4 linked regions of the Lonchura striata genome follow. The protein of the gene in region 2 purifies or fractionates together with the protein of the main gene of each other region. This does not show direct contact. Links are inferred from orthologs where the notes say so. Each region holds a gene or a part of one and is shown on either strand. Other genes may lie near its edges.

Region 1 (7,713 bases), on a different chromosome or scaffold from region 2:
TTGTGTACTCCATCTTCAGCTGAGAACTTCAATGTAACAAAAGTCTCATTACATGAGTATTAACACAGACATTCAAAATTAAACAGGAAGTATACAGAGGGAATGTTTGCTAGATTGCTCAAACTGGAATAGAGAAGGGAGTGGTTTTTAAATTCTTCTCATTAACCCATGCATATCTTTTCTTTAAAAATCACATTACTATTAAGCATGTCTTTTTTTGACAAACCATCTTTTTTTGCTTGGCTTGGTTTTTTAAGTTGATGCACCAGTTAATAAAAGGGTGGTAATAATCATATGGCAAAAAAACCGTGCAGGTACCAGCTTTGTTCCAAAACTTAAAAGCCCTCAATACTTCAGCTTTCCCACATATGAAATGAGGACGATTACATCAGAACCTCTTTTATTATTATTAAAAAAAAGTGGGGGGAAGTAGCTAAATGCAGCTGTGTGCAACACCACAGAGTAAGAAAACTCAAAAACGCTAAGGAAGCGGCTTGGTCGGCGTTTCTCAGAGAATCGAGGCAGGAATAAAATCACAGAGGGGCAGTTAAAGACACTGAAGGCCAAATCTTACCAGCTGGAACTCCCTGCGCCTGTCGTAGGCGTGCTGGATGCCACTGTCTGCCCACAGGGCTCGGATGGCTGGCAGGTAGTCCAAAAAAACCCCGGTCTCCACCATGCCCTGCGCCACGGTGACCGCGCGGGTGTCGAAAGCCATCACCTTGTCCCCGTTGCTCTGGTTGGCAGCATCTCCCCAAGGGATATGGAGTTTCTCTCTGGCGTCCACCAGGACTCGCACACCTGCAATGACGAGGAAGGACACTGTGAGCAGAGTTTCTCAGCATCTACTGTTTCACCAGGCTTCGGATCTGCACTGAGGCGAACAATGCACCTGCTCTGCACAAAGCTCAATAGGAACATCCACCCAGGATGGGCAGGGAATCAGGAAGCCAAAAAACTGACTCAAACCACTACATATACAGGTAGCAGCAAACCCCGGATTTGCTATCTCAAGAACATGACTACCATCAACAGGATGCAAATTTAATTCTTGAAAATGTGCTGTTTTTAATTACTAAGTTTATCTGCTACCAAATTCTTTCACTTGGCATGAGTGCAAGACAAGGAATACTTAAAAGTTTATTTCGAAATACGTTAAACCACCTGATGTCTTGCTTTAAGGTTCTCTAAGTTTTGTGAAGAATACAAACTTGGTATCCAGTCATACCAAATTATACAAAGAATCTCTATCACTGACAGTATTTCTATCATTGCCTTTCATATTTTCAGAGAGACTAAGACATGTACTAAAATCATTGCACTTGCTAAAAATATGTTTCTATAGCTTAAGTGCAGAGGAATTGTATCATCTAAAGGCTTCCCTGCACTTGTGTGGTTGTTTTGGTAAATATTTTCTAGAAGAGCATTTTAAACTTCTTTTCAGAGTCCTTCTGAAGGATATAAATCAACTGTCCTCATATTGCAAGAAAATTATTTCTAGTATTGAATTTGCTGACGAAAAAATAAAAATAAAAATCCAGAAAGACTAAGCAACTGTAAAGGCATGGGAAGAGATATAAGGAAATTAAGATGTGGCAACAAATGACTGTTCAGTAACATACTCATTCGATGCCAAGGTGTTTTCTCAAGGTTCAGTCCTTTTCCATGGTTTTTCTCTCTGTCAAAGGCAGGTAGGTATCTGTCAAATCTATCTGTGACTGCAGGAAAAGAGCGTCCCAGACAGATGTGCAGGTCCTATGTGTATACCTTCACAGAGCATGAAGTAGCTTTAACAATAAACTTTAACCTGGTTGAGATTCATGTGCATGATTTCTACTGCCTTCTACTGCTATAAGTAGTTTTTCCAGGCTTGATTCATCAGCAGGTTTGTAAAACAACTCTCTTTGAGAATTGCTGGATTTTCAGGAGCTGAGTCTGGCAACACTGTGCTGTTTTGAGAAACTTCATTAAGATCTGCTCCAACTATTACACAGTCCAAACTGAATATCCAAGGAGCAATTTAGGTAAGAGAAAATGCGTGAAGACGACCAATGAAGCCAGGATGACAGTAGTGAAATCAAGCGTCCACTACTCCCCTAAACCATGTGTGGAGGTTTTGGCAAAGGATCTATGAGAGAGGCTCTGCCTGCGGGTTGCAGTTAATTGATGTGTCAGCCGAGCAGCGATTTCCACTGCAGCAAAACGCTGAAAGCAAAGGGCTGGGCTCCTCCTCATGCACTTCCAGGTGCATCTTCCCCCCATCCATTACCGCTCATTAGAGCACTCGCATTACCAGGAAATCACAGAATCACGGAATCAATTAGATCGGAAAAGACCTCTGAGATCATTCAGTCCAACCTATGACCGAATACCACCCTGTCAACCAGACTTGCCATTAAGTGCCACGTCCAGCCTTAAACACTTCCAACGACAGTGACTCCATCACCCCCCTGGGTAGCCCATTGTCTCAATGGAAGAAATTCTTCCGAACGTCCAGCATAAAGCTCCTCCGGTGCAGCTTCACACTGTCCCCTCGTCCTATCTCTAGTTCTCTGGGAACAGAGCCCGAACCCCACCTGGCTACCACATCCCTCCAGCGGTTGTAGAGAGCGATAAGATCACCCCTGAGCGCCCTGTTCTTCAGGCTGAGCCCCCCCCTTGTGCTCCAGCCCCTTCCCCAGCTCCGCTGCCCTTCTCTGGCCTCGCTCCAGCGCAGCACCGAGGGCCAAGCGGGCAGCTCCCGGGGCCGGAGCCGCCCCGCGGGCCGCAGCGGGCGGCGCGGTGACACCGCCGCGGGCCGGCCCCGGGGCACGGCCGCGGCGCCGGGACAGCGCGGCAGGCGGCGGCGGCCGCGGACCCGCCCGAGCCGCCTCTCCCCGCCCCGGCCCGGCCGGGCCCGGCGCTCGCAGGGCGCCCGTCCCCGCCGCCCTCACCCACCCTTGATCACGTTGCTGTAGATGGTGGCGCGGAACTCCTCGCGCGCCGCGCGGTCCCAGTCCTGCCCGTGGATGATCCGCATCTGCTTGAGGAAGGTGGACTTGCCGCTCTCGCCCGCGCCCAGCAGCAGGATCTTGACGAGGCGCTTCACGTAGGTCTTCTCGCGGTTGAGGCACTTGTCGATCTCCTTGGACTTGCGCTGCTGCTCGGCCTCGCCGCTGGTGAGGAGGCAGCCGGGGAAGCAGCCGGCCAGCGCGGAGCGGGACGGCAGGAAATCCGCCATCTTAGCGAGCGCTGCCAGCCAGGGGAGCGCCCGCCCGCCGCCCGCGCCGCGCGCGCCCCGCACCGCGCCTGCGCGCCGCGCCGCGCCCGCCTGCACGCTCCCGCCCGGCGCGTGACGAGCGCGGGCCCGCCCCCCGCGCCGGCCCCGCCCCCTCCGGCCCCTCACAGGAAATGGCGGGAGGGACCCTCAGGAGCGGGCCTGCTCCTGCGCCGGCTGCCTCACTGCCCTTCCCAGCGCCCTGAGATCCTCGTAGCCAGACTGGCAATTCACCTGTAAAACACCGCCTTCTCCTCAAGAAAGCCCCCGAGTCGCCTTGAAGTGGAGCTTGAAATCGCGATTTTTCAGCGCCGTTCCTGGAGGAGATCCAGGCTGTGCCTCCTGGCAGGTGCCAGGCTGCTCGCGAGGAAACACAGTGAAAGAACATTCAGGCACAGGGTGCTGCTGTGTAATGGACTTAAAGGTTTATAGATGCACATGATCATAATTTTAATGTGCTTTGTAATGGAAAATAAATTTAAGGTGGGCTTCATGGAGTCATAAAGGTTTGGAAGAGACCTTTAAGATCCAGTCCAACCACCCACCCAGCATCCATAAAAACACATCACTCAGCACCAGGTCTGGATGTTTCTCAAGCACTTTCAGGGATGGTGACTCTACCACTTTCCTGGGAGCCCTTTCAATTGCCAGACCACCCTAACCATAACTTTTTTTTTCCTAATCTAATGAATCTCCCACCTTGAGGCCATGTGCACCCATCCTCTCACTGCAGGCAGGCAGAAGAGACTAAATCATAGAAACACAGAATCAATTAGGTTAGAAAAGATCACTGAGATCATCCAGCCCAATCTGTGACAAATCACCTCTGTCAACTGGACTATGGCACCAATTGCCATATCCAGTCTTTCAGCACCTCCAGGGTGTCTCCACCACATCTCTGGGCAGTCCATTCCAATGTCTAATTACCCTTTCTGTGAAGAATTTTTCCATAATATCTAACCCCATCCTCCCCTGGAGCAGCTTGAGGTTGTTCCCTTGTTCCCTGGAGCAGAGCCTGACCCTCACCTGGCTGCACCCTCCTGTTGGGAGTTACAGAGTGAGAAGGTTCCCCCTGAACCTTCTGTTCTCCAGGCTGAGCCCCCTGAGTTCCCTCAGCAGCTCTTGGTTCTCCAGCCCCTTCCCAGCTCCATTCCCTTCTCCAGACACGCTCCAGCCCTTCAATCTTCTTCCTGAACTGAGGGGCCCAGAACTGGACACAGGAACTGACACAGCCACTCCTGTCCCTGTCCCTGTCCTTGTCCCTGGCTCCTCATGGGTATGTTTAGGAGAGAAGACTGAGAGGACATCTCATCAATACATATAAATATCTCCAAGGGGAATGCCAAGAGGATGGTCCCAGACTCTTCAGTGGTACCCTGTGACAGGATGAGGAGCAATGGCTGTAAACTAAAACACAAGAAGTTCCACCTCAACATGAGGAAGAACTACTTTCCACGGAGGAGGCAGAGGCTTGCAACAGCTGCCCAGAGAGATTGTGGAGTCTCCTCCCTCTCAGGAGATGTTCCAAACACACCTGGACGTGTTCCTGGATGACTCTGCTTAGGCAGTGGGGTTGGGCTGGATGATCTTAGGAGGTCCCTTCCAGCTTTAACAAATCTGGGATTCTGAGGTTCCATGGAAAGGAGCCCCAGGCTCACCCGACCCCGTGGATGCAGGGAAGCTGCTGGGCAAGCGGCCCAGGGAGGTCAGCCCTCAGTCAGGGGGGCAGGATGGTGCTTGCCAGCTAAGCAGGTTTTCTTTTTGCTGCAGAAAGAGAGCTGTTTTGTTAAAACATTTGAAAAATTGGCATGTCCTTCCTCACTGCCTGGCTGAGAAGAGCTTCCCAGTGCTGCAGGGTTGCAGCACCGAGCTGAACAAACAGCCTGGGTCCAACCTCTCCCGAGGCACAGTGAGCAAAAGAGAGTGGGACTCTAGCTGATCCCGAGTTAAAAGGAGCAAAGATTTATTTTCAATGGCAATCCTTCATGTGAGGAGTAGAACAAATCTTAGGCTGAGGGACCTGCAAGGACTGAAAATCTCACGGACTGAAAATCCCACACTTCATTCAACACAGCCCTAAGCACAGCTTAGTAATTTGTTTTAATAAATTAACTTTAACTACCATCAGTAGTGCAAAGATTGCATTAAACATTTGTCTCTCCTTACATCTCCTAGTCTTTGATATCTGCTGAAATTTCCTCTTAATCTTTTTCTGCTTTTCCCCCCAACATTAATAATAACTTAGAAAAAGGGAAAGATAAATGTGAAACTGTGAGGTGAGTTTAGAACAAGGAAATGTTACTTGGCCTCAGCTGGAAGGACCTTCAAAATCTGAAAAGCGCATCAGTGTTCTCTCCTTAGGTTGGTCCCACATGGAGATAAAACTGTATGGGAATTATTTCAAAGGGGCTTACCAGAAAAAAAAAAAAAAAAAAAAAAAAAAAGGCATTTCTTGTAGGAGAACAGGATGTGGTACAAAATTAATACAAGGAGCACGTCCTGTTACTCTTGGTACAGATGTGGAAGCCAGTCATTCCTGAGCTCTGGTCTCAGTTTTAAAATGAAGTTTTAAGATATTTGTCTCAACTCTCATCTTACCTCCCTAGCTGCAGAGGACTCCTGAGTTTCTCCAATCGAGCCACTTGAGTGCTGGGGAGTCCTTGACCTCCCCGTTGCTCTCCCCTTCACGTGGGGAGCTCTCCAAACCCCCACTCCGTGCGCTGGCACAGCAGCCTGGCTCCCAGCCAGGGAGGGGCTGTTCCTGCCCTGCCTGACCGTGTTCCCTGGAGAGGGCTCCGCACCACCCAGGTCACTGTGAAGCCAGCTGCATCCTCCCACCCCAGCAGCCAGGCTCCATCTCTAAGGCAGGGTGCATAAGGTCTTGCTCTGCTTGGCTTTTTTCCTTCCTCTTTGCCACTTCTTTCCTTAGCTTTCCTGGAAAGCCCAGGAACGACGGGAAACAAATGCTGCCCGTTTGCCCCAGCAGCTCTTCCCATGAGGCTGCTAAGGAAACTTCTCATTTTGAGTGCTTGTGCCCCACCAGGCAGGACAATGGACTCTGGGGATATTCCTTTAACCATTGCCTTGCTGGCAGAGCTGAGCTCAAGTCACTCCTCTCTCTATGCCACAGTTTGCACAATTTTTTTTTTTTTTTTTTTTTTTTTTTTTTTTTTTTTTTTTTTTGAGCAAACTGCTTTGAAATCTTCCTGGAAGGAACCAAGTGCTAAAACCAAGCCCCCACCTGCCACTTGTTTCACTTACTGTTACCCCTTCCTTCCCCTCAGGGCGTCCCCAGCTTCCTTACATAGAAAGGTAGCTTACTCACCACATGCCTTTTGTGTTGGATGATTCAACTTTCTGATGTGTGAAAAAGGGGCAACCACGTAGGAAATGTGACCTTTTAAAGTCAGGGGGGGATTCCCTTGGCAGTGCTTTCCACAAGAGAAACTCTGGAGAATTGAGAGCCAGTCTGTTGAGAGCAATCACAGCTTGTGGGGCTGCACAAGGAGACCAGAGGGATAAAATCCGGCTTTCAGCAGAACTTTTCCCAGCCTGGACACACTCTGTGTGAGAGGCTGGCAGGGATCTGTGGGCTCTGGAGAGCCCATGGACACTCACCATTGCCCTGTGATTTGATGTGATGTGATTGATGTGATGTGATGTGATGTGATGATGTGATGTGATGGGATGTGATGACCACAAGGGTATTTCCACTATAGCAGCTTTTACCCTGTGTGGGGTAGAACACCCATGGAAACTTGCAGCTACATAAATACCACTGCATTTACTATACAAAACAGGAGGTTAAGGGCACTCCCCAGATAATGTATTTCTGCATTATCTGGGGGGCAGAAAGGCCAGGGTGAACGTAGGGAGTCAGAAATCTGGAGGGAATCTCCTTTATGACTGCTGCCAGTGCTCTCCACCACTCTTGTTGTTGTTCAAGTCCCTTGTTTTCTTGACCAACAAATATGCCAGCCAGGCTGCATCAAGGACTGGAGAATTCTTTGCTTTCTACAAGTGTGGGTTTCGTGATTAGAGGCCCAGGAGTGTCTGCCCTAGACAAGCCTCTATAATCTGATTTAAATGCCTCGTGCTTCATGTGGCAGATCTGCCCAAGAGCATTAACTGCTGGGACGGTTCACCTGGGCACAGGTGAAATATCAACTCATCTGTGTTTGGTGCTGTGGGTCACTCACAGATGTTAATAAAGCTGAATTTACCTTGGACATGTTGTGGAAATTACACAAACTAGCTTTAAAATACAGGAATATCCATAAGCTTCATCATAGCTTGTCAGAGAAGACTAGAAATAGAAAAAACGCCACACCTGACCTGTGAGGGGGTGTTTGGGGGATCGGAAGGATTTAAAATTATCAGACTCTTTGGAGCTCAGTGAGGCTGAAGAGCTCACAACTCAGCGTGAGCTTCTCAGAGCTATTTTTCCTGGATCTCCT
Region 2 (7,815 bases):
ACAGAGAGAATGAGCCCAGACACACTCAGATATGAATTGGCCTGACTGTGTTTCAGCAGTGCCAGACACTAAAATCCATTCAACTTTCCTGGGAAAGAGAACAAAAATAAAAGAAGGGAAAAAAAAAATAAAGAAAAAAAGTAAGGGACTTAATAAAAACATCATTTATCATCCTGGCTCCAGAACAGCATTAGAAATGGCCATTCATACACTCCTAATTTCTATATTTAATGGTGATCATTTATATCAAGAGATATAAAATATGTCAAGGATTAGACAAGTGCAACCTGCACAAGGGAAATGTGACAGCTGTCAAATCATTACTGCCTTAAATTGCAGGGATAGCAAAGGAAATATCTGCTGTCTGTAATGTGGATTTAGGCAGCTCTATATATGCTAAATACAAATATGTAAAGCTAATATGGAGAAAAATCTAGGCCCAAGCTACCCTATTATATTCCTAATACCATCTGGCACGGATGCAAACTGGGTTTTCCTGGTTTAAGGCAATTCCCATCTCAATCCCACCAAGGAAGGTGATTGACAAACACAAAGAGAATTGAACATGTCAGATGATTTATGGATCTAATGACAGTGGAAGCATCATTATTTATATTGCACCTGCTTTACATTCTAAGCTCTAGAGGCAGATTGAAAAAGGCAACACAGAAAGTCCCTGGGCCTGAAGGGAAAGGGGAATGTTCTGCAGGGACAAGAGTGATCAAATCCTGCACAATGCTGGGGATGAAAAGGAACGGCAGAGATCGGGACAAACACGACCACCACATCTGGGGTTCTGCTGAAAGGTTCAGCCAGGGAATAAATCAGAAATCATCAGAGAATCCCAGAATGGTTTGGGCTGGGAGGGACCTTAAATCCCATCTCTTTCCCATCCCCCTGCCATGGGCAGGGACACCTTCCACTGCCCCAGGGTGCTCCAGCCTTGGACACTTCCAGGGATCCAGGGGCACCCTGTCACCATCCTCACCATCAATCTAACCCTCCTCTGAGTTTTCCACCGTTCCCCCTTGTCCTGTCACTCCAGACCTTTTAAAATAGTCTCTCTCCATCTTCCCTGTAGGCTCCTTCAGGTCCTGGCAGGCCACCCCAAAGCTTCTCTTCTCCTGGCAGAACCACGACCATGACTTTGTACCCCAGAGCTGGGGCTGCTTCAGGCCAGAGGTGGAAAATAGTGACAAGAAGAGATCCAGTTTCTCCACATTCCCCCAGCCATCCCAGAAATCCAAGGGTTGTGGGCACAGCTCCTCACCTGACATTAAAAGCCTTTTGATCCAAAACCTTAATGGAACACCAAACAGAAACATCCTCCTGACATGACTGAGAGCAAAAGGAAATGAGACATTTTTTATTTGGCTGCTCCAATTCAATAATGGAAAGTATTTTGTTTTACTAACAAGTAAATTAAATTCCCTGTTCTCGTGTTTTTCCTTTCCGTGCATCACTCAGCTGCTCCTCGGGATGAAAATCCTGTCGTTCTTTTTGATATCATGCAACTGCCACAAGACATATGGCCTGAAGTATGTAACAAAATCCTCACAAATCCACTGAAATGCCTTTTTACTGTCATTGCCTCGCCTGCTACAGAGAAAAACATCCTGCAACCCAAGAATCATTCATGCACTGCAAAAGAGAAAACTCCACTCGTACAAACTACAGAATTAATTGCCAAGATTGAATACTCTGTGAACAGTTGTAAACACAGATTGTACACAAGTCTGAGCTGTCCCAGAGCCCTTTGGACTGGGCTGACTTGTGGAGTCACGAAAAGGCCGGGTTTAAGTGAGAACCACACTCAGACTCTCTCCTGCCTGCACCTGGAGCCTAAAATTGGTGAGCTCAAGCCCCCAAAAGCATCACTGCTCCATCCCAGCCCCAGCTTCGCTGCTGTGCCAGAACTGCTTGGTCATGAAAGGCCAAAGCGAGGCCTTTGCCACACTCATTCACACCTTAACCACCAGCCAGACACTATACAGATACAAAAAAACACATTAAATGGTTCTTACAGCATACTGTGTCAAAAAAGGTATCTTTCCTTCCCATCCAAAAAAAATCTGAAGGCACTCATTCGCCCCAAAAGCACGTTAAAATGTTTCCTTCTTGACTTTTTTTTTTTTTTGTCACATTTTTTATCCCTTCCTCTGAAACACCTCAGTGCAAACGAGAGAACTGCAGAGGTAATGAAAGGCACCTGCAGAGCAGCCCAGAGGCTCAAGCAGGTATCTGAAGGCAGGTTCCTGCTAAGGTAGACACCAGCAGACATTCCTGCTTGTCAACTCTCCCTCCTGCCCTCACCTGGAGTGACCTCTCCGCAGTACTTGACCCAAGGAGACCCAAGTGCATCCTCAACACGCTCTCCCAGCTCAGGCTTGAGCTGGATACTAAATTCTGGTGGCTTCTGCTGCTCCAGCTCCGTGCAGGAACCCTTGCTTTCGGTGTTCCCCGCAGCACCAGCCCATCCTGGGAGCTGAGTTAGCACCCCTGGCTCCTACAAAGTCAGCCTGGCAGGCCTGAAAGCTGTTGGACTTGAAATACTCCGCTTTCAAAGTCAACCCAGTCGCTTTGACAGTCAAGACACCCTTGGCTCCCAGAGCCTCTGATTTAATCCTGCTTTTCTGATCCCGTCTGTCACTGAAGCCAGAACACGAAGTACGTGAGCTCTGCGGGTAGTCACACTTCAAAAAAAGGAAAAAAAAAAAAAAAAATCAAGGAATCTCATTTTATACTGACCTGTCCGTGATTGTGGACTGTGTGCCACTCATTGGAGCCTTTGGCAAGAAGTCGTATTATCCAATTTACATTTTACTCTTCTTGCAGGAATATGAACGAGGCTTTGCCCCTTACATGCACCGAGGTTCAGGATCCAGCCTTGCTCCAGAAGAGGCATGCACAGAGGACAAACTCAGTTCAAGGGCAGGAGAAGGGAACAAAAAAAAAAAAAAAAAAAAAAGAACCAACAAAAACCAAACCCAATCCAAAACAACTCCAAAACTCTTCTTTGCAGTCACCCAGAATATCCAAACCACGGAAGTGGGGCGCGGGGGGGATAAAGCAAAAACTCCAGCAAGGAAAAAAACTCCAACAACAACAACAACAAAAATAATCAACAAAACAACCTCGGCGGACGCGGGCGGGGGGTGGAAAAAAGAAGAAACCCTCGTGAAGAGGCGGGCGATGCTCCGAGCGCGGGGGCCCGTGCGGGCTCAGGGGCTGCGCTCGGGGGGCGGGCGGCGCTCCCCGCCCGCGGCCGGGCCCATCCCCGCTGCCCGCCCGGCCTCGCCCGCGGGGCTCGGGCAGGGCGGCCGCCTCTAGGCCCGGGGCTCCATGCCCCGCCGCTCGGCCTCTCGCTGCGGCCCTGCGCCGCTCTGCGCCGCGCTGCTCTCCCGGCCCGCTGGCGGCCCCGGCGCTGCGCGGCTGGGCGAGGCGGCAGCGGCGCGTCCCGGGAGCCTGCGCCGAGCCGGGCCGGGCCGGGCTCGCCCCTCCCCGGCGCCTCCGGGGGGCTCGTACCTCCGGCCGCTCCGCCCCGCCGCCGGATCCCTCCGCCGCCCGCCCTCCTCTTCCTCCTCTTCCTCCTCCCTCTCTCTTCCTTCTCCTGTTTCTCCTCCTTCTCCTCCTTCTCCTTCTTCCCCTCCTCCTTCCCCTCCTTCCCCTCCTCCTTCCCCTCCTTCTCCTCCTTCCCCTCCTTCTCCTCCTTCCCCTTCTTCCCCTCCTTCTCCTCCTTCTCCTCCTCCTCCTTCCCCTCCTTCTTCTCCTTCTCCTCCTTGCCCTCCTTCTCCTCCTTCCCCTCCTTCTCCTCTTTCTCCTCCTCCTCCTCCTTCCCCTCCTTCCCCTCCTTCTCCTTCCCCTCCTTCTCCTTCTCCTCCTTCCCCTCCTTCCCCTCCTTCCCCTCCTTCTCCTCCTTCTCCTCCTCCTCCTTCCCCTCCTTCTTCTCCTTCTCCTCCTTGCCCTCCTTCTCCTCCTTCCCCTTCTCCTCCTCTTTCTCCTCCTCCTCCTTCTCCTCCTTCCCCTCCTTCCCCTTCTCCTCCTTCTCCTTCTCCTCCTCCTCCTTCCCCTCCTTCTCCTCCTTCCCTTCCTTCTCCTCCTTCTCTGCCTCCTCCTCCTCCTCTCTCGCAGCCCTTTCCCGGTCCCTGCCCAGGCCTTTTCCCTTCGGGAAGCGTTTTCCAGACCCGCGGGCTGTTTCCTTTCGTCTCCGCTCGGTGGCGGCCGCTTCTCCCTCTCCCTGTGTCCCAGCTTTCCATCCCCCTGCGTCCCTAACCCGAGGAGGTTTCCCTTTTCCCTCTACCCGTTTTTCCATTTTTCCCCATCCTCCTGCGTCCTTAACCCGAGGAGGTTTCCCTTTTCCCTCTATCCCTTTTTCCATTTTTCCATATTTCCCCATCCCCTGCCCAACAGTATTCCATCCCCCTGCGTCCCTAACCCGAGGAGGTTTCCCTTTTCCCTCTACCCCTTTTTCCCTTTTTCCGTTTTCCCCCATCCCCCTGCATCCCTAGCCCGAGGAGGTTTCCCTTTTCCTTCTATCCCTTTTTCCCTTTTTTCCCTATTTTTTTTCCCCATCCCCTGCTATCCGACACTTTGCCGTGTCACCAGCGCTCAGGGCAGGGAGCGCCCGCGCCTCCATCTCCATGGAAAATATGACACCGGCGAAACTTGGAGCAGAAAGAAAATAAATAAGCAGCAAATTAAAAGAGTAGAAGTGCCAGGAGCTGTGCAGCGCGGAGCCTCGGGCTGTGCTGCTCACTCCCAGGCCTTTCGTTGTCCCATCCCGCGTTCCCCGCATTTCCCACGCAAGTTTCAAAGGGAATTTTTTCTTGGAGGTTAAGGGCAGCATAAATCCAAGAACTGATCCCTCCCTGCACGTACATTCCAGAAACACTGCGGCCAAGGGCCTGTTCCTGCTCCCCTTCAAAACTTCCAGTGCCAAAAGATGAGCCACGCGGGGTGTTGGGGCATTTAAATTTTAGCAGGTGAGGATTTCCTTCTCTCGGCCACAGGCTGAACACAAACATGTCCTTGCTGTAACTCCCTGCTGTTCATGTACACGGTCTGAGAGAGAAATTCCTGTTTCAAGTCTGCACAGAATCCCAGAATGGTTTGGGCTGGAAGGGATCTTAAAGATTATTTTGTTCCAACCCCCTGCCACGGTTCTTCTTCCACTATCCCAGGTTCCTCCAACCTGGCTTCGAACACTTCCAAGGATCCACCACAGCTTCTCTGGGCAACCTCACCACCCCCACAAGGAATTATTTTTTCCTCATATCCCACCTAAAGCTACTCTCCGTCAGTGTGAAGCCGTTCCCCCTTGTCCTGGCACTACAAGCCACTTGTTCTCAAACACCTGGAAATAACATCTACACCTGAGGACTTCAGGAAACTTCCACGCTACTCCTCCAGAAATGAAAGCTCGTGAGCAGCACAGATGTGGAATGAAAAGCAGGATATCTCCCCTGCCAGTAATTCCTGCCCCTCTGCACAAAGGAACTTACAGAACATCAGCCTCCTCCAGCAAAATGCCAGCAGACTAAAATAACCTTATTAGCTAATCCCAATCATCTAGGACACCACGCTTCTTCCCTTTAATTAATCTTGCCGGGATAGACTTCAAAGCTGGGACACTGGACTTGGAAAGAGGCTGGAAAAGAAAGGTTTTGGCTGGGCACACGGGACCGTACCTCTGGAACACGGAGCTGTGTCCTGCTCGCCGCGCGCATCAGGAAGCCGGCAGCCCGAAGTCTGAGCGCCCGAAGAATTTGTTGTTTTGATGGAGTTCAGAGCAAAGAGGGGAAGCGTGGGATGAAATCATTTTCTACATGATATTTCACATATATGCGCAGGACATTTATACTTCCTTTTTTGGTTTCCTTTTGGGGAAAACGGAGGCTTGGTGGGGGGAAAAATAAATAAATAAAGTGTGGGAGTGTGAGACAAGCGGCCACGTCTGCCTCTCCTTCTGCAGCTGTGTGCAATAGAGTCATCAGTGCTGATGAAGTGACTGAATGCCTCCATATATCTATATTTATTTATTATATATCTCTTTATTGCATCTTCTCTGCAATAAATCCCTCCCTGCTTTTAACTTTGGGAACATCGAGTACTGTGCCTGGAGAGGGGAAAGATCCTGGGAGATCTGATTCCTGGCAGGCCCAGCATTTGCATATTAGGCCTCAATGCTTTTTTATTACTTTAATTATATTTTATTGTGCATGACAACATAACGAGAACAATTAGCTGGAGGAAATCCTAAGACATAGATTTTCTACTTCTCTTCTCTGCAAATGCTGATTTTTTTTTTTTTTTTTGGAGGGAGTTGGTTACATATTTAGATTAAGATAGATGTCCATTTATGATAATTCTGTTTTACAGCCTGAAATATGGGGTAGGGAAATCAATAAGTAATTACAGTGTGCCCATTACTTTTTTTTTTTTTTTTTTGGCGCTCTGAAGCTGTCACTTGATCTGAATTTACACACAGAACCATCCCATGGCAGGAGGGTTGGAGCAAGATGACCTTTGAGGTCTCTTCCAACACAAAACCATTTTGTGATTCTCTAATCAACCTCCTCCATCTGTTTTTTTAGTCCATAGCAGAGCTAAGCAGGACCCTAAAATTGAGGAGTTTCATTCCTAAGGAGTACAATTCCATTCTTATTTTGCCTTAAAATAACGGTTAGATCCTTGGAGGTGCTTTAGAGGGGCTCCTGTAAAAATAAATTTATAAAGTGTGAGGATTCTTTGGCCAAATCCCCTTTCCCAGGCTCGCACCGAGGAGCTGTTGCCATCTGCTGGGAAAGCCTCGAATGGCTCCTCTAACCTGAGCTGCCGGGCAGGTAAAAACTCAGGAATTTGGGAAAAAAAAAAAGCATTTCCAAGCGCTTTGGGATCGTGGAGCTCCGAGGGGGGTTTGCACCGCTGTCAGCTCAGCATAAACAGCGAGGAAAATCAGCAAAAAGTGATGCTTTAAGGTTTTAAGTGTGGATAAACAGTGCCTGGATGCATTTTTCTTTCAGAAAAAAATTTCAATTTGTGTTTCAGATGGGATAATCGGCTGAGTTTCGCTGAGCTCCACCACAAAAATAAAGATTCTTTTGCTCCTTACAAATCATCAATTTCAAGCCAGTGAGAGAATGTTCAGGTATTTTGAACAGTTCTTTACACTCAGTACAAATTGCTCAGCCAGCTCCTGTTTTTCTGCTGCTTTTGGAAGCCAGCTGCCAAACCTTTACACCTTGGAGGGGAAAAGCACAGGGGAAATGATTCCCAAGTTCATTTCCCAAATGTGCCTATGGAGCAGAGGACTTAACCCCAGAAAACACAATTACATTGGTGCTGTGTTCCACATTCCTGCACTATTTCCAAACCTTTTTTCATCTCCCACCTTAAAACAGGCACCAGATTTTCTCCCTACAGCTTGTCCTGCAGTTTTGGAAATGCTGAAAATTCCCCAGAGTTGGTATTGGGACACAGGGTTTTGCTGATTTTGAGACACAGATCCTAATCTAGCAGAGCTTCTACAGTGACAGCTTATTACAGTTCCTAAACCTGGATAATCCACGGGCAGTCAGCATTTTTAGAGCCCTGAGCTTTTGTTCCACATCAGCATCATGAAAACAGCAAGGGCAGAGGAATCTGCTGGACATCGTGCCCTGAGTTTCCTTCTCTTTCTCCATCCTCTGGCAGGACGGGGGATTAAAAAGAAAGAGGTAACATCTAAAGAAATGGAGAATATAATTTCTTTTCACGTTTGAGGATTGTGGCACTAGAGAGATCTCAATCTCCTGACACAAAGCACAATTCAAACAG
Region 3 (7,904 bases), on a different chromosome or scaffold from region 2:
CACACCTGGGCACACCTGGGGCACACCTGGGCACACCTGGGCACACCTGAGCACACCTGGGCACACCTGTGTCATACCTGGGCACACCTGGGCACACCTGGGCACACCTGGGCACAGCTGCACTACCCTGTTGTAGGTGAAGTTGAGCCCCAGTGCTGCCCAACTGCCCCCACCCAGCTGTGCCCAGGTGTGTGTTACCTGTCCCAGCTGTGCCCAGGTGTGTCTCACCTGTCTCAGCTGTGTCCCAGGTGTGTCTCACCTGTCTCAGGTGTGTCTCACCTGTCCCAGGTGTGTCTCACCTGTCTCAGGTGTGTCTCACCTGTCCCAGGTGTGTCTCACCTGTCTCAGGTGTGTCTCCAGGTGTGTCTCACCTGTCCCAGGTGTGTCTCACCTGTCTCAGGTGTGTCTCCAGGTGTGTCTCACCTTGATGAAGGCGTAGCCGGCGCTGTTGTCGGTGATGGTCAGCCCCAGCTGTGCCCAGCTGTGCCCAGGTGTGTCTCACCTATCTCAGGTGTGTCTCACCTGTCCCAGGTGTGTCTCACCTATCTCAGGTGTGTCTCACCTGTCCCAGCTGTGTCTCACCTATCTCAGGTGTGTCTCCAGGTGTGTCTCACCTGTCCCAGCTGTGTCTCACCTATCTCAGGTGTGTCTCCAGGTGTGTCTCACCTGTCCCAGGTGTGTCTCACCTGTCTCAGGTGTGTCTCACCTATCTCAGCTGTGTCCCAGGTGTGTCTCACCTATCTCAGGTGTGTCTCACCTATCTCAGGTGTGTCTCCAGGTGTGTCTCACCTATCTCAGGTGTGTCTCACCTGTCCCAGGTGTGTCTCACCTTGATGAAGGCGTAGCCGGCGCCGTTGTCGGTGATGGTCAGCCCCAGCTGTGCCCAGGTGTGCCCAGGTGTGTCTCACCTATCTCAGGTGTGTCTCACCTATCTCAGCTGTGTCCCAGGTGTGTCTCACCTATCTCAGGTGTGTCTCACCTGTCTCAGCTGTGTCTCACCTATCTCAGGTGTGTCTCACCTGTCCAGGTGTGTCTCCAGGTGTGTCTCACCTGTCCCAGGTGTGTCTCACCTTGATGAAGGCGTAGCCGGCGCCGTTGTCGGTGATGGTCAGCCCCAGCGCCTCCTCGTCCTTCAGCACCTGCACGTCCTTCTGGCGGCCGCGCGTGTGCGCGAAGATGAAATCCTCCAGCCCGATCTGCCCGCCCAGCAGCTTCTCCATGTCCACCTGCGGCGTGTTCAGCGTGCAGAACAACACCTGGGACAGGTGAGCACACCTGGGGGTCACCCGAGTGTCACCTGGGACAGGTACACACCTGGATGTCACCTGGGGACATTGGGGACATTGGGACATTGGTGTGTTCAGCGTGCAGAACAGCACCTGGACAGGTGAGCACCTGGGATGTCACCTGGGGTGTCACCTGGGCAGGGACACACCTGAGTATCACCTGAGATGTCACCTGGGGCAGGGACACACCTGAGTATCACCTGAGATGTCACCTGGGGCAGGGACACACCTGGATGTCACCTGGGGACATTGGGGACATTGGGGACATTGGTGTGTTCAGCGTGCAGAACAGCACCTGGGACAGGTGAGCACACCTGGTGTCACCTGGTGTCACCTGAGTGTCACCTGGGGTGTCACCTGGGCAGGGACACACCTGGGGACATTGGGGACATTGGCGTGTTCAGCATGCAGAACAACACCTGGACAGGTGAGCACACCTGGGGGTCACCTGAGTGTCACCTGGGACAGGTACACCCCCGGGTGTCACCTGGGGACACTGGGGACAATCCCCCAGCCCGATCTGCCCGCCCAGCAGCTTCTCCATGTCCACCTGCGGTGTGTTCAGCGTGCAGAACAGCACCTGGACAGGTGAGCACACCTGGGAGTCACCTGGTGTCACCTGAGTGTCACCTGGGACAGGTACACCCCTGGGTGTCACCTGGGGACACTGGGGACATTGGGACATTGGTGTGTTCAGCGTGCAGAACAGCACCTGGACAGGTGAGCACACCTGGTGGTCACCTGGGTTGTCACCTGGTGTCACCTGGGCAGGGACACCCCTGGGATGTCACCTGGGTGTCATCTGAGTGTCACCTGGGACAGGTACACCCCTGGGTGTCACCTGGGGATATTGGGGACATTGGTGTGTTCAGCGTGCAGAACAGCACCTGGACAGGTGAGCACACCTGGTGTCACCTGAGTGTCACCCGGGTGTCACCTGAGATGTCACCTGGGGCAGGGACACACCTGGGTGTCACCTGAGTGTCACCTGGGTGTCACATGGGGTGTTACCCGGGGTGTCACCTGGGGCAGGGACACACCTGGGTGTCACCTGGAGACATTGGGGACATTGGGGACATTGGGGACATTGGTGTGTTCAGCGTGCAGAACAGCACCTGGGACAGGTGAGCACCTGGGGTGTCACCTGGTCAGGGACACACCTGGGGTGTCACCTCAGTGTCACCTGGGGTCTCACCTGGCGACAGGACAGCACCAGGGGACACTGGGACATGGGGACACTGGGGTGGTCAGCGTGTCATCCCAGTCCCTCCCAGTCCCTCCCAGTCCATCCCAGTCACTCCCAGTCCCATCCCAGTCCATCCCAGTCCATCCCAGTCCCTCCCAATCCCATCCCAGTCCATCCCAGTCTATCCCAATCCCATCCCAGTCCATCCCAGTCCATCCCAGTCCATCCCAATCCCATCCCAGTCCATCCCAGTCTATCCCAATCCCATCCCAGTCCATCCCAATCCCATTCCCAGTCCATCCCAGTCCCTCCCAGTGCTCCCAGTTCACCTCGCTGGGCGGGATGCCGAAGGCCTCGCCGATCTTGCCGTACAGCTCGCGCACGTTGCCGAATCCCATCCCAATCCCATCCCAGTCCCTCCCAGTCCATCCCAGTCCATCCCAATCCCATCCCAGTCTATCCCAGTCCATCCCAATCCCATCCCAGTCCATCCCAATCCCATCCCAGTCCCTCCCAGTGCTCCCAGTTCACCTCGCTGGGCGGGATGCCGAAGGCCTCGCCGATCTTGCCGTACAGCTCGCGCACGTTGCCGAATCCCTCGACGCGGCCGGTGGCGCTGCCGTGCGCCAGCTGCGTGTGGAACACCAGGCGGGGCCGCAGGCCGGGGGCGGGGGCCGCGCCCCCCGGGACCCCCCCCGGGGCCCCCCCGGGCTCCCCCGGGGTCCCCCCGCGCCCCCCGGACCCCTCCTCGTTCTCCACCAGCGGCGGCGGCTTCTTGCGGCGGCCCAGGCCCAGCGGCATGGGGGGCCGGGGGGGCTCGGAGGGGGTTTGGGGGGGCTTTGGGGGGTCTAGGAGGGGTTTTGGGGGGCTTTGGGGGGTCTTTGAGGGGTTTGGGGGGGCTTTGGGGTGTCTAGGAGGGGTTTTGGGGGGCTTTGGGGGGTCTTTGAGGGGGCTGGAGGGGCCTTTGAGGGGGTTTGGGGGGGCTTTGGGGTGTCTAGGAGGGGTTTTGGGGGGCTTTGAGGGGTCTTTGAGGTGTTTTGGGGGCCTTTGAGGGGTCTTTGATGGGTTTTAGGGGGTCTGGGGGTGTCCAGAAGTGGTTTTGGGGGGCTTTGGGGGGTCTTTGAGGGGGCTGGAGGGGTCTAGGAGGGGTTTTGGGGGGTCTAGGAGGGGTTTTGGGGGTCTAGGAGGGGTTTTGGGGGTCTAGGAGGGGCTTTGAGGGGTTTTGGGGGGCTTTGGGGTGTCTAGGAGGGGGTTTTGGGGGGCTTTGGGGGGTCTTTGAGGGGTTTTAGGGGGTCTGGGGGTGTCTAGAAGCGGTTTTGGGGGGCTTTGGGGGGTCTGAGCGGAGTTTTGGGGTCTTTGAGGGGTCTAGGAGGGCTTCTGGGGGGGTCTCAGCGGAGTTTTGGGGGGGCTTTGAGGGGTTTTGGGGGGATCGGTGGGGGTCTCAGCGGAGTTTTTGGGTTTTGGGGGGATCGGTGGGGGTCTCAGCGGAGTTTTTGGGTTTTGGGGGGATCGGTGGGGGTCTCAGCGGAGTTTTTGGGTTTTGGGGGGATCGGTGGGGGTCTCAGCGGAGTTTTTGGGTTTTGGGGGGATCAGTGGGGGTCTCAGCGGAGTTTTTGGGTTTTGGGGGGATCGGTGGGGGTCTCAGCGGAGTTTTGGGGGGTTTTGGGGGGATCGGTGGGGGTCTCAGCAGAGTTTTGGGGGGTTTTGGGGGGATCAGTGGGGGTCTCAGCGGAGTTTTTGGGTTTTGGGGGGATCAGTGGGGGTCTCAGCGGAGTTTTGGGGGGTTTTGGGGGGGTCTGGTGAGGTTTCGGGGGTTCTGAGAGGGGTTTTGGGGGGGTCCCAATGAATTTTGGGGGGGTCTGGGGGTTCTAGGAAGGGTTTTGGGGGGGTCCGGTGGAGCTTTGAGAGGTCCGGGGGGGTTTGGGGGGGTCCCGGTGTCCCCGGGGTGTTTTTGGGGGGTCCCGGTGTCCCCGGGGTGTTTTTTTGGGGGGTCCCGGTGTCCCCGGGGTGGTTTTTGGGGGGTCCCGGTGTCCCCGGGGTGGTTTTTGGGGGGTCCCGGTGTCCCCGGGGTGTTTTTTTGGGGGTCCCGGTGTCCCCGGGGTGGTTTTTGGGGGGTCCCGGTGTCCCCGGGGGGGTCCCACTCTGCTCCGCTGGGGGCTGAAAGGCGAGAGGGGAAACTGAGGCACGGGGGGTGGGGGATCCCCGAATCCCGGGACCACCCCCGGGACCCTCCCAGATCCTCCCGTGGTCCCGGCCCCCCGAGCTCGCTCCCGGTCCCGTTCCCGGTCCCGGTTTCCCCATTCCCGGTCCCGGTCCCATTCCCGGTTTTAGTCCCGGTTTCCCATTTCCAGTTGCAGTCCCGTTCCCGTTGCCGGTTTCAGTCCCGGTCCCGGTTTCCCATTCCCGGTTCCGGTCCCGGTTTCCCATTCCCGATCCCGTTCCCGGTTTCCCGTTCCCGTTTCCCCAGTTTCATTCCCCTTCCCCATTCCCGTTCCCATTCCCGATTCCATTCCCGGTCCCGGTTTCCCCATTCCCGGTTCCCGTTCCCGGTTCCAATCCCGATCCGGTCCCGTTCCTGGTTCCGCTCTCCCAGTTTCCCATTCCCGGTTCCATTCCCGGTTCCCGTTCCCGGTTCCCGTTCCCGGTTCCGCTCTCCCAGTTTCCCATTCCCGGTTCCGCTCTCCCGGTTTCCCATTCCCAGTTCCCATTCCCGGTTTCCCGTTCCCAGTTCCCATTCCCGGTTCCCGGTTCCCATTCCCGGTTCCCGGTTCCCATTCCCGGTTCCTGGTTCCCATTCCCGGTTTCCTGTTCCCGGTACCCGGTTCCGGTCCGGTCCCGTTCCCGGTTCCGGTTTCCTATTCCCGTTCCCGGTTCCCGGTTCCCGTTCCCGGTTCCGATCCCGTCCCGTTCCCTGTCCCGGTTTCCCATTCCCACTTCCCATTCCCGGTTCCCGGTTCCCGTTCCCATTCCCCGTTCCCGGTTCCGTTCCCGGTTTCCCATTCCCGGTTCCCGGTTCCCGTTCCCATTCCCAGTTCCCGTTCCCGGTTCCGGTCCGGTCCCGTTCTCAGTTCCGGTCCCGATTTCCCATTCCCCGTTCCCGGTTCCGGTCCCGGTTTCCCATTCCCGGTTCCCGTTCCCGATTCCCGGTTCCCGTTCCCGGTCCCGTTCCCGGTTTCCCATTCCCAGTTCCCGGTTCCCGGTTCCCGGTTCCCATTCCCATTCCCGGTTCCGGTCCGGTCCCGTTCCCGGTTCCGGTCCCGGTTTCCCATTCCCAGTTCCCGGTTCCCATTCCCAGTTCCCGGTTTCCCATTCCCGGTTCCGGTCCGGTCCCGTTCCCGGTTCCCGGTTTCCCATTCCCGGTTCCCGTTCCCAGTTCCCGGTTTCCCATTCCCGGTTCCGGTCCGGTCCCGTTCCCGGTTCCGCTCCCGGTTTCCCATTCCCGGTTCCCGGTTCCCGTTCCCATTCCCAGTTCCCGGTTTCCCATTCCCGGTTCCGGTCCCGGTTTCCCATTCCCGGTTCCGCTCCCGGTTTCCCCATTCCCGGTTTCCTGTTCCCGGTTCCCGGTTCCTATCCGGTCCCGTTCCCGGTTCCCGTTCCCATTCCCCGTTCCCGGTTTCCCATTCCCGGTTCCCGTTCCCATTCCCCGGTCCCGTTCCCGGTTCCGGTCCCGGTTTCCCATTCCCATTCCCGGTTCCGGTCCCGGTTTCCCATTCCCCGTTCCCGGTTTCCCATTCCCGTTCCCGGTTCCGGTCCCGGTTTCCCGTTCCCATTCCCGGTTCCGGTCCCGGTTTCCCATTCCCGTTCCCGGTTCCGGTCCCGGTTTCCCATTCCCAGTTCCCGGTTCCCATTCCCGGTTCCGGTCCCGTTCCCGGTTCCGGTCCCGGTTTCCCCCCTCACCCGCCGGGCGCTGCAGCCGGAGCGGAGCGGCACTTCCGGGAGGGCGTGGCCAAACCGCGCCCGGACCAATCAGCGCCGCCGCCCCGCCCCGCCCGGACCAATGGGAGGCGGGGGGGGAGGGCAGCAGGAAAGGGCGTGGCCGCTCCTCCCCTCCCCCCCCGCCCGCCGCGGGCAATGGGCGCGCCCGGGCCCGCGCGCGGCGCAGCCAATCAGGAGCCGGGATGGCGCGTGGGGGCGTGGCCAGCGGGGAGGGAGCCCAAAGGGGCGTGGCCAACGAGAAGGGGCGGGGCCGGTGAGTAAAGGGGCGTGGTCTGAGCGCAAAGGGGCGTGGCCAGTGGGGAGGGGATGAGCGCAAAGGGGCGTGGCCAAGCGGGGATGGGCGTGGTCAACGAGTAAAGGGGCGTGGCCAAGCGAGGATGGGCGTGGTCAACGAGTGAAGGGGCGTGGCCAAAGGGGGTCCGCGTGTGATTTTGGGGAGGGGTCCCAAATCCAATTTGGGGTCCCAACCTCCATTTTGGGGAGGGGTCTCCGTGTGATTTTGGGGAGGGGTCCCAAACCCCATTTGGGATCCCAACCTCCATTTTGGGGAGGGGTCTCAGTGTGATTTTGGGGAGGGGTCCCGAACCCCATTCGGGGTCCCAAACCCCATTTGGGGAGGGGTCCCAAATCCAATTTGGGCTCCCAACCTCCATTTTGGGGAGGGGTCCCGGTGTGATTTTGGGGAGGGGTCCCAAACCCCATTCGGGGTCCCAAACCCCATTTGGGGAGGGGTCCCAATCCCAATTTGGGATCCCAAACCCCATTTTGTGAGGGGTCCCGGTGTGATTTTGGGGAGGGGTCCCAAATCCAATTTGGGGAGGGGTCCCAAAACCAATTTGGGATCCCAAACCCCATTTTGGGGAGGGGTCCCTGTGTGATTTTGGGGAGGGGTCCCAAACCCCATTCGATGTCCCAAACCCCATTTGGGGAGGGGTCCCAATCCCAATTTGGGATCCCAACCTCCATTTTGGGCAGGGGTCCCGGTGTGATTTTGGGGAGGGGTCCTAAACCCCATTTGGGAGGGGTCTCAAACCCCATTTGGGAGGGGTCTCAAATCCAATTTGGGGTCCCAAACCCCATTTTGGGGTCCCAAACCCCATTTTGGGGAGGGGTCCCGGTGTGATTTTGGGGAGGGGTCCCAAACCCCATTTGGGGTCCCTAACCCCATTTGGGGAGGGGTTCCCGTTTGATTTTGGAGAGGGGTCTCCGGGTGATTTTGGGGAGGGGTCCCAAACCCATTTTGGGAACTCAAACCCCATTTGGGGAGGGGTCCAGAACCCATTTTGGGGAGGGGTCCCGGTGTGATTTTGGGGAGGGGTCCCAAACCCCATTCGGAGTCCCAAACCCCATTTGGGGAGGGGTCCCAAACCCCATTCGAGGTCCCAAACCTCATTTTGGGAAGGGGTCCCTGTGTGATTTTGGGGAGGGGTCCCAAACCCCATTCAAGGTCCCAAACCCCATTTTGGGGAGGGGTCCCAAATCCAATTTGGGGTCCC
Region 4 (7,589 bases), on a different chromosome or scaffold from region 2:
GCAACTGAAAGATTATAGGACTTATCAGAGAAACTGTTCATCTTTTGAGGACTGAAATTGCTTTTTTTCCACATAAGCTCAAGCCCAAATATAGACAGCACCTGAAGAAATCATCAAGCTCAAGCCCCTGCATGAGAACAAGTAAAACAGTTTTGAGGGGTGTTTTTAATTTATCCTTAACACAAATCCTATTTGACTTTCAAAAACTTTTGCAGAAATGAGATTGCACAACCTTAGTTTCTTTCAGTTTTCCCTAAGGCATAACAGATTTTAAGAACTTTATCAAGTCTTTGGTATAAATTAGTTTCATCTTTTTTCAGTACAGTCACTGATAGAAGAACACAAACCACTTCTCACTAAATTTAATGCCCTAGCATCTTCCTGTCCCCTCATCTAATTTCTTTCTGCTGGAAATGAGCTTGCGTAGCTTTGTGGAACATACTTTCCAAGCATATATATTCCTTAACAGCCTGTGGCCAAAACTGGACACATTATTCTGTTAACTTAAGCTGCACTAGTAGAAAAAGCTAAATGCTGGACTTCAATAGTACTGCATCCCTGTGCTTCTTGTGATCCCACGTAACCCTCAGATCTGCTCCCATGGCACTGCTGCCAAGTCGACTTTACCCATCTGCATTATGGGATCTTCTTCCTGAAAATAGTATCTTGTACTCAAATACTGCCTTCAAACTTATCAGAAACCTCTTGTTCTCCAAAGCAGAGCATCAAAAACACAGTCTGAAAGCACTACTCAGTCTCCTTCATATTTTGTGCTAATTCTTTTGATCAAAGATATCCATGTCAACAAGTACAAAGGTGCCAGAACTGCCCCCAGCACCATTTAAACTGATGTTTGATGGTGACTCATAGTCATTTCCTGAGAGTTATCACTCAGAGTTGTTATCTCTCGACCTCGTCCCTTTGGTTCAGCTGTTCTCAAAAACTCACTTCAGTTGAACAATTTTCCTAAGAGCAGTCCTACTGGGTCAGACAGCAGATCTGTTGTCTGCACTATGTTAATGCCTGAAATTAATATATAAATTTGATAAATAATTGAAAGTACTTTCCCAACCTATTATCCCAGCTCTGTGCTCAGCTTGGTGACACCCTGAGCTACTTCAGGTACTCCACACAAGTTAGCCTTAGTGGGTTTTTCTTCCATTAATTTGTCCGGCTGCTTTTAAAGTCCCTGTAAACTTTCAATATCCACATGCTTCAGAAAGGATTTCCAAAGCTTAACTAACCACACATTGGGTCAAAACCAAAAACACACCACTTTTGTTCATTTTGAACCTGCCAGCTTAATCATATGCTTTCACATTTTGTTCTGATAAAAAGTTAGTCCATACTCAACTTTGCCACATCACTCATAAGACTGTCAAAATTTCTAATACCTGAAATCTTTCCTCAGACCAGTGTTATCAAATACCACAAAAATGCAAAGGTTAGATTGGGTCACAAAGCCACTTCCACCCTGGTGGACCAGGCACAAGGAAGCACTATTTCACCTTCCTTATGAGAACATTATTGTTAATGGGTCAAAATACTGACCTATTATCAAAACAAAAGCACATGGCAATGCCGGAGGCTGAAAGACACAGTACTTAGTGCAGATTATAGAGGAATCTGACTAGAAATAATGGGGGTGGGGAAATTAGTTCAACTTAGAATTTCTGCCAATACTGACATGGTTTTCATTCAGAAAGCTATTCAGCCTCGCAGGAAAGTTTACTGCCTTTATATTTGCATTGCTGGCTTTATAGTTGTATAGTCAAAGGCATAACTGTGCCTTCACTAAATAGTTTATTAACTGAGACACATTAAAAACCCATCCACTAAAAATACAGTCAAGCAAAATCTTAATTTCTATGTTATTAAAAGCAACAACACAAAAGTTTGGGACTTGTGCTCTGATAATTCTGATAGTTACTCTCCCATCTTAACAACACTGAGATCTTTCTTTTGCAATTATTTTATAAACCATACATTTAAGAGTTAACTTGTGTGTTAGCAGTTTTATTATATTTAAACAAATACTGCAAGACATTTGCCTATACTTTTAAATTTTCATAATTAACATTTAAAAAATTAAAATATTTCTATTTTTATTAGGCGCTTTTTTTTTTTTCCGCTAAAAAATAAAGTTAAAAAAACGCAGATGACATTTAACTCGCGAGTTCATCTCCACCCTGTTAATTTGTCACACTTGTAAAAGAAGGAAGACTCAGTCCCGCAGCCAACCTTTGTACTCGGATGGCTGTGAACCCAGTCCATAGGCCGCCCCGCAGCCCGGCGATGCCAACTGAACTGTGAGGAATTAGGTCGCCTCAAAGGTCTGTTCCCTCCGGGAGCACCACAGGGCACAAGTCCCGACGTACTACTTCTCTGCACCTTTGTAAAAACAGGGCTGGCAGTCAGCAGTATTCGCTGAAACAACAGATGACAACCATCCTTTTACAGAAGCAGCCAGCTATTAGTTCAGCTACCTCCATCCTACAGGCCTTGGTGGCATTTACTAGTTCAAAACTAGTAAATTGGAGCCAAGTATCGGGCAAGCACCAACAGTACATTTGCTGCACTGCAGGTCGTATTCTAGACCATTAAGGAGACCGTTTCAAGCTTTCCTATTCAGAAACGGATGCAAGACAGAGGAACGGGGTATTGGATTTTAGTTGTACATCACGGTGACACACGCTGCTCTCCAAACCGCAGCCTGCAAAAAGTACTTCAAGCAGAAATACTCCAGAAGACGTTTTTCCACTGAAAAGACGTTTTTCCACTGAACTACCAGTCGTACTGTGTCTGGTCAGTAAAGGCTATAAAAATTTTATTTTCACTTACAAGGACGATCCCACCAGCACAGAAGTGTTTCTGAAGCAAGGAGGGGAGCCCAGCAGGGATGGAATTTCACAGAGGATGATACTAAAAAAACCCAAACAAACCCACAAAGGAAAGAATTTCCATGACAGCTAATTTAAGGAAGTAACGCGCACTCCGGAGGGATTCTGAGCTGCGGTTCCACAGGTCGGTCCCGAGGTGCGCTGGCCGGAGCGCTCCCCGCCGAGGGCCCGGCCCGCACCTGCCCGGGCGAGAGGGGCGGCGGGGGCAGCCGCGGCGGGCCGGGGGCCGGCGCCTCCCGCCGCGGGTAGGAGGGGCGGCGGAGGCGGAGAGGCCGCGTCCTTACCTGCTGCTGGAGGTGCTGCTGCTGCGCTCGGCGCCCCGCTCGCTGCCGACCCTGCCGCCGCCGCCGCCGCGCCGCTCTGCGCCGCCCCCGCCGCCCGGCACGGCCCGGCCCGGCCCGGCACGTCACCGCCACAGGGCCGGCCGGGGGCGGGGGCAGCGCCGGCGGGGCGGCGGCTCGGAGGCCGGCCCGGCCTTCTCTCCGCTCGGGCTGCCCGGCGGGAGCCCCGGCCCCGCGCCGAGCCCGCAGCCCGCGCCCTCCGCGCACGGTGGTGCTGAGGGGCTGGCCACGGCTACTTTGTGAGCTGGGCCTCTTCCATTATTTTTTACCGACGCGGTTGCATAAGGGGTCATTCCTGACCGTCGCCCCATCAAGAAAGGTGCCGAGCAGGTGGCGGCTCTCCTGCTGCACAAAGCTTGGAAGTCAGACTGTGTCAGCCCGGTCCCTCTCCCAGGCTCGCCCCGGCCCCGTGCCGTCCCTGCCGTGTCCCCAGGGTCCCGCCTGGGCGGAGGTTCCAGGGCTGGGAGCAGCGATGGTGGCACCGCTGCTGCGTGGCAGAACAGCGTGGCCTGCCAGCCCCGTGCCCCCTGCACTCCTGCAGGGCAGCCGGGGCAGCCTCGGCTCCGCGGGATTGCCCCGGCGTGTGCCTCACCCAGCCATCCATCCCTGCGGCTGCTGCGGCTCGGGGACAGCGGCCCGGCATTGCATCGTTGCATCATGCTCGGCCGGGGCGTCACACCGCTGGGGCTACCCACAGCCACCCCTCCCGAGCCGCAGCTCTGCGTCACCTCCCTGTCCCTTGGCTTTACCGCGATTCATTCCTGGCGTCGCCAGCTGGTTTGTCAGCTTTCCCGTAGCACCGTGCTTCTCTCGCCACAATGGTTCATGAGCAGCACAATGACCCCGACTGTACGTGCAAAGCCTCCTCGCTCTCCACCCGATGGTTCGTTCATACGTCTTTTGCTGACAAAGTGAAACAAACCAGTTAATACTTCAAAATCTTGTGTTTTCGTTGATTTTGCAGCCCCAGCTACCTTTCTTTAAGCAAGGTGTGTTTCACTGCATCCTTTTTGAGTGTTTGGACAACACCAGGGACGTTGTGGGTACAGCCACTAGCTAATAAATAATTTACATAGATTTCTTCAAGCCATAGCTGCCCATGTAGACATGATTGTCGTAACAACGCCTTAGCCTCTTTCAGAGGACAAAGAGAAATCCCAGGGGCTTCTTTAGGGGCAACCTAGAGAAACTCAGGGGGTTCTGTCAAGGATCAGAGTGGATGTACACATGGAAGGAAAATGGCAGTACATTAGATGCATGAGTAATCCTGCATCCTGTGTGGAGTACGGGTGGAGTTCAATCCTGCGTCCAGATTAACATTCCTACAACTCCTGAAATGTGCTGTGAACTTGTTTTGGTCTTTAAAACATTCCACATGACTGTCAAGTATTAAGGTAAATTTGATGGTTGCATCTTCACTTGACATAATTTAGAATGTTTGACAATTTGGACAATCAAAACATTGTATAACTTCTAGAGCACTGAAGTTTGTCTTTGGCATTACCTTTCAGTACTTTGTACAGTCAGCCTTACTTTTATTTGTAAAAGAGAGATAAGGATAATTGTTATCTGGGAGAAAAAAAAGTGCATGGACAAGTGAATGAAAATGTAAATTTGGTGACTGGCTAACCACCTCTGTTAGCAAAACAGGATATAATGTCAGGAAACTATCAACAAAACACTTACAGTGTAAACAATCCAAGCAGTGCTGAGCACTGTCTTACCCTCTGATGTGCCTCTCCCTCATTGGAAGAAGCATGTCTCTACTTTCTCCCCTCTTTTCTCCCTGGGAAGTTTAAAAATAACCCAAGACACAGCAACATCTGTTCTGTGAATCTTCAGGGAAAATACAGGAAGACTCACAAGCGAAATCAGAGTGCAAGAACTTCAACCTAAGCAAAAAGTGGGGGAAAGTGGAAAGAGAAGAAAAGGCAAAACATGTTTTAGTGTACCCATTGCCTGTATGTAAGGAGCATTTCCAGTTTCATTCCTAGGAAAATTGGATGAACCTCTGTAACTTCAGTCTGAGACTTTTCAGAACACCAGGAACAGTGCAGACGGGTTACAGCTGCTTTGTTTAATAGCTGTATGAGGAGCAGATGCAGTTTGAGGCTGGGGGGAGGGCAGAGTGCCTTTAGCATCACCCTGTTCCTCCCACACCTCAGTGCACCAGGCAGAGCAAACAGCAGTGGAGAAGCCTCCACTGCCAAGTGACAACCGCAGAGGTGGCGTGTCCGTGCTGCTGGAACTCAGGGCAGGCTCACACTGTACACACCACAGCAAGAGGGTGTCTTGTGAGGAACCAGAGCTATAAAAACACCATCTCCAGTGTGCAAACTCCATGTTCTGGATGGCCTACAAGGAATTCCACAAGCATTCCAAAGGTGGAAGATCAACAATACATGGCAGCACCACATTTTGACATTTGACATGCACGTGCACCTCTTGTAGTTCTGCCACAAAGAACTGACAATACTTCAAATGTCATACACCCAGTTATTAAAATAGAACATTTTAATATGAATCCAGGTTGCTATGGATAGTAAACAGCTTTTGTCATTAAAGTTGCCATATATTTTTTTAAAATATGTGTTAACGTAGGAACCACTATATTTGTCAGAGCTGTTGAATGGCAGTCTGGATGAATGAGAGGTAAAGGACCCTAGATGATTTCTCAGAAAACCCTGAGAGGATATTAAGTTTGTGTTCACAGAATCACATAATGATTTGGGTTGGAAGGGACCTTACAGATGATCTAGTTCCAGCCCCACTGCCATGGGCAGAGACACATGCTTGACCAGGTTGCTCTAAGCCCCATTCAGCCTGGCCTTGATGAATACCAGTTTGAAAGGATGGGCAGGTAAGGGACTCCAGGTAATTTCTCAGAAAACCCTGAGAGGATATTACATGCGTTTTCATTTCAAAGAATATTATACAATGTCTTACTTTAATTTCATTGAAAGTGAATTTTGTGTATAACTCAATGGATCAAACTTCAGACGATTCAATATAAATAGGAAAAGGTAAAGGCTCTCATACTTGCATTAAAAATTTCACTCCTGAGAGGATTGTTCTTAAATGTTTAGTATCATAACTGCTCAGTTTCTCTCTCCACACTTTATAATGAAAAATTAAATGCAAAAATCTGGTTTGACATTGATTTCAAGCCTTTACTGTATGCATATCTCCAGGTGGAATGCTTGTGTTTGAATCATGTTGATATTAGCTAGCTTTCCCTGTGGATTCCACATAGCAACAACTGTTTTACACATCACATGTAATGGATAAAGTTCTGCCTGTAAAAATGTCCATGGGCACTGACTTAAGTCACAGCTTAATGTGAGGCCAGAAGTTCATTTTCTTTACACTGTTTTGTTGGCATACTCTAAGTGTACATGAGAGTGATGTAATGACACTTTATCTGTGTAATGTGGTCCCAGTAAAACACCTCACAGCTTGCCAGCAGCAACTCTTGGCATTTCCTAACAGCTGAGTATTTTGGTTTAGCACTTAGATACTCCCCAAAAATTATTTTATAGTTTTACAGTCAGTTTCTGATAAAAACTAAAGTCACTGGTTATAGAACAGTTTTGGACTTACCAATGCAGTTTGCAAATGTGGCTACTGAAGCTGCCAGCACAATTTATCTATTATTTGTCTGGATAAAGAATAGCTTGTTCATATGTTTGCAAAAGAACCTTTCTAACTTGGCTCAAGGTTGAGCAGCTTTTATTAGGAGAAAGAACAAGAAAATTTGCTGGGATTTTAGCAGTAGTAGATGACGTTCCTTTCAGGATCAATCTCTGGTTTCTTTCCAAGCAGGCTTACTTTAGATAAGCACCGTTAATTTCCTTATCATGTAAATTATTTACTGGAAATAAATGTGTAAGTCTTATATTATCTGCTCCCTTTTCCTTAAGTTATGTGCACATACATAAGTCTCCAATTTTGACAGTAGTGAAATGATCCCTTTTTTTTTTTTCATCTTTCTGGCAGAGTTTGCATAAACATCTATTTTAACTATGCCTGAATATTTTTTAATGTTCTAACTTTCCACAGGCCATCTGTATTTCAACAGACGCATACAAGTTACAAAAAATTTTAGACATTATGTTCTAAGGTAAGAGTTCCTATTTAAAGTCTTCCTGTTTAATTTCAATTTGTGAGTAGTTTTTTCTTTGACAACATGCTAGTTTAGGAATATCGATGGTTTCGCATTTTCACCCCTAGCAATGTGTGACAGGTTTCTGAAGCTGTTTTTTGGCTGAGAGTAAGTCTCTTGGACTGGCCCCATTTTTCAATTTCCTCTCCTTAAAGGATAATTCAATTAAGCAAATAGATTATTTTG

What was found. The genes of interacting proteins can lie anywhere in the genome.
Region 1: the proteins of ARHGEF12 (region 2) and GNA13 purify together in Homo sapiens (affinity purification with western blotting; 3 studies listed by BioGRID). This does not show direct contact. The link is inferred for Lonchura striata from reciprocal best matches to the Homo sapiens genes ARHGEF12 and GNA13.
Region 3: the proteins of ARHGEF12 (region 2) and GIPC1 purify together in Homo sapiens (co-immunoprecipitation; 4 studies listed by BioGRID and IntAct, with this or other methods). This does not show direct contact. The link is inferred for Lonchura striata from reciprocal best matches to the Homo sapiens genes ARHGEF12 and GIPC1.
Region 4: the proteins of ARHGEF12 (region 2) and MYO6 purify together in Homo sapiens (affinity purification with mass spectrometry; 4 studies listed by BioGRID and IntAct, counting the BioPlex papers as one, with this or other methods). This does not show direct contact. The link is inferred for Lonchura striata from reciprocal best matches to the Homo sapiens genes ARHGEF12 and MYO6.

What each region holds. Positions count from the first base shown.
Region 1 is NC_134621.1:9,431,322-9,439,034, reverse strand, and holds the start of GNA13 (guanine nucleotide-binding protein subunit alpha-13), read right to left. Parts: upstream 3,274-7,713; 5' UTR 3,221-3,273; coding exon 2,938-3,220; intron 802-2,937; coding exon 575-801; intron 1-574. UniProt on the Homo sapiens protein: Guanine nucleotide-binding proteins (G proteins) are involved as modulators or transducers in various transmembrane signaling systems.
Region 2 is NC_134625.1:8,620,680-8,628,494, forward strand, and holds the start of ARHGEF12 (rho guanine nucleotide exchange factor 12), read right to left. Parts: upstream 3,232-7,815; 5' UTR 2,781-3,231; coding exon 2,749-2,780; intron 1-2,748. UniProt on the Homo sapiens protein: May play a role in the regulation of RhoA GTPase by guanine nucleotide-binding alpha-12 (GNA12) and alpha-13 (GNA13). Acts as guanine nucleotide exchange factor (GEF) for RhoA GTPase and may act as GTPase-activating protein (GAP) for GNA12 and GNA13.
Region 3 is NC_134623.1:2,225,378-2,233,281, forward strand, and holds the start of GIPC1 (PDZ domain-containing protein GIPC1), read right to left. Parts: upstream 3,274-7,904; coding exon 3,004-3,273; intron 1,257-3,003; coding exon 1,071-1,256; intron 1-1,070. UniProt on the Homo sapiens protein: May be involved in G protein-linked signaling.
Region 4 is NC_134605.1:82,985,095-82,992,683, forward strand, and holds the start of MYO6 (unconventional myosin-VI), read right to left. Parts: upstream 3,274-7,589; 5' UTR 3,185-3,273; intron 1-3,184. UniProt on the Homo sapiens protein: Myosins are actin-based motor molecules with ATPase activity. Unconventional myosins serve in intracellular movements. Myosin 6 is a reverse-direction motor protein that moves towards the minus-end of actin filaments.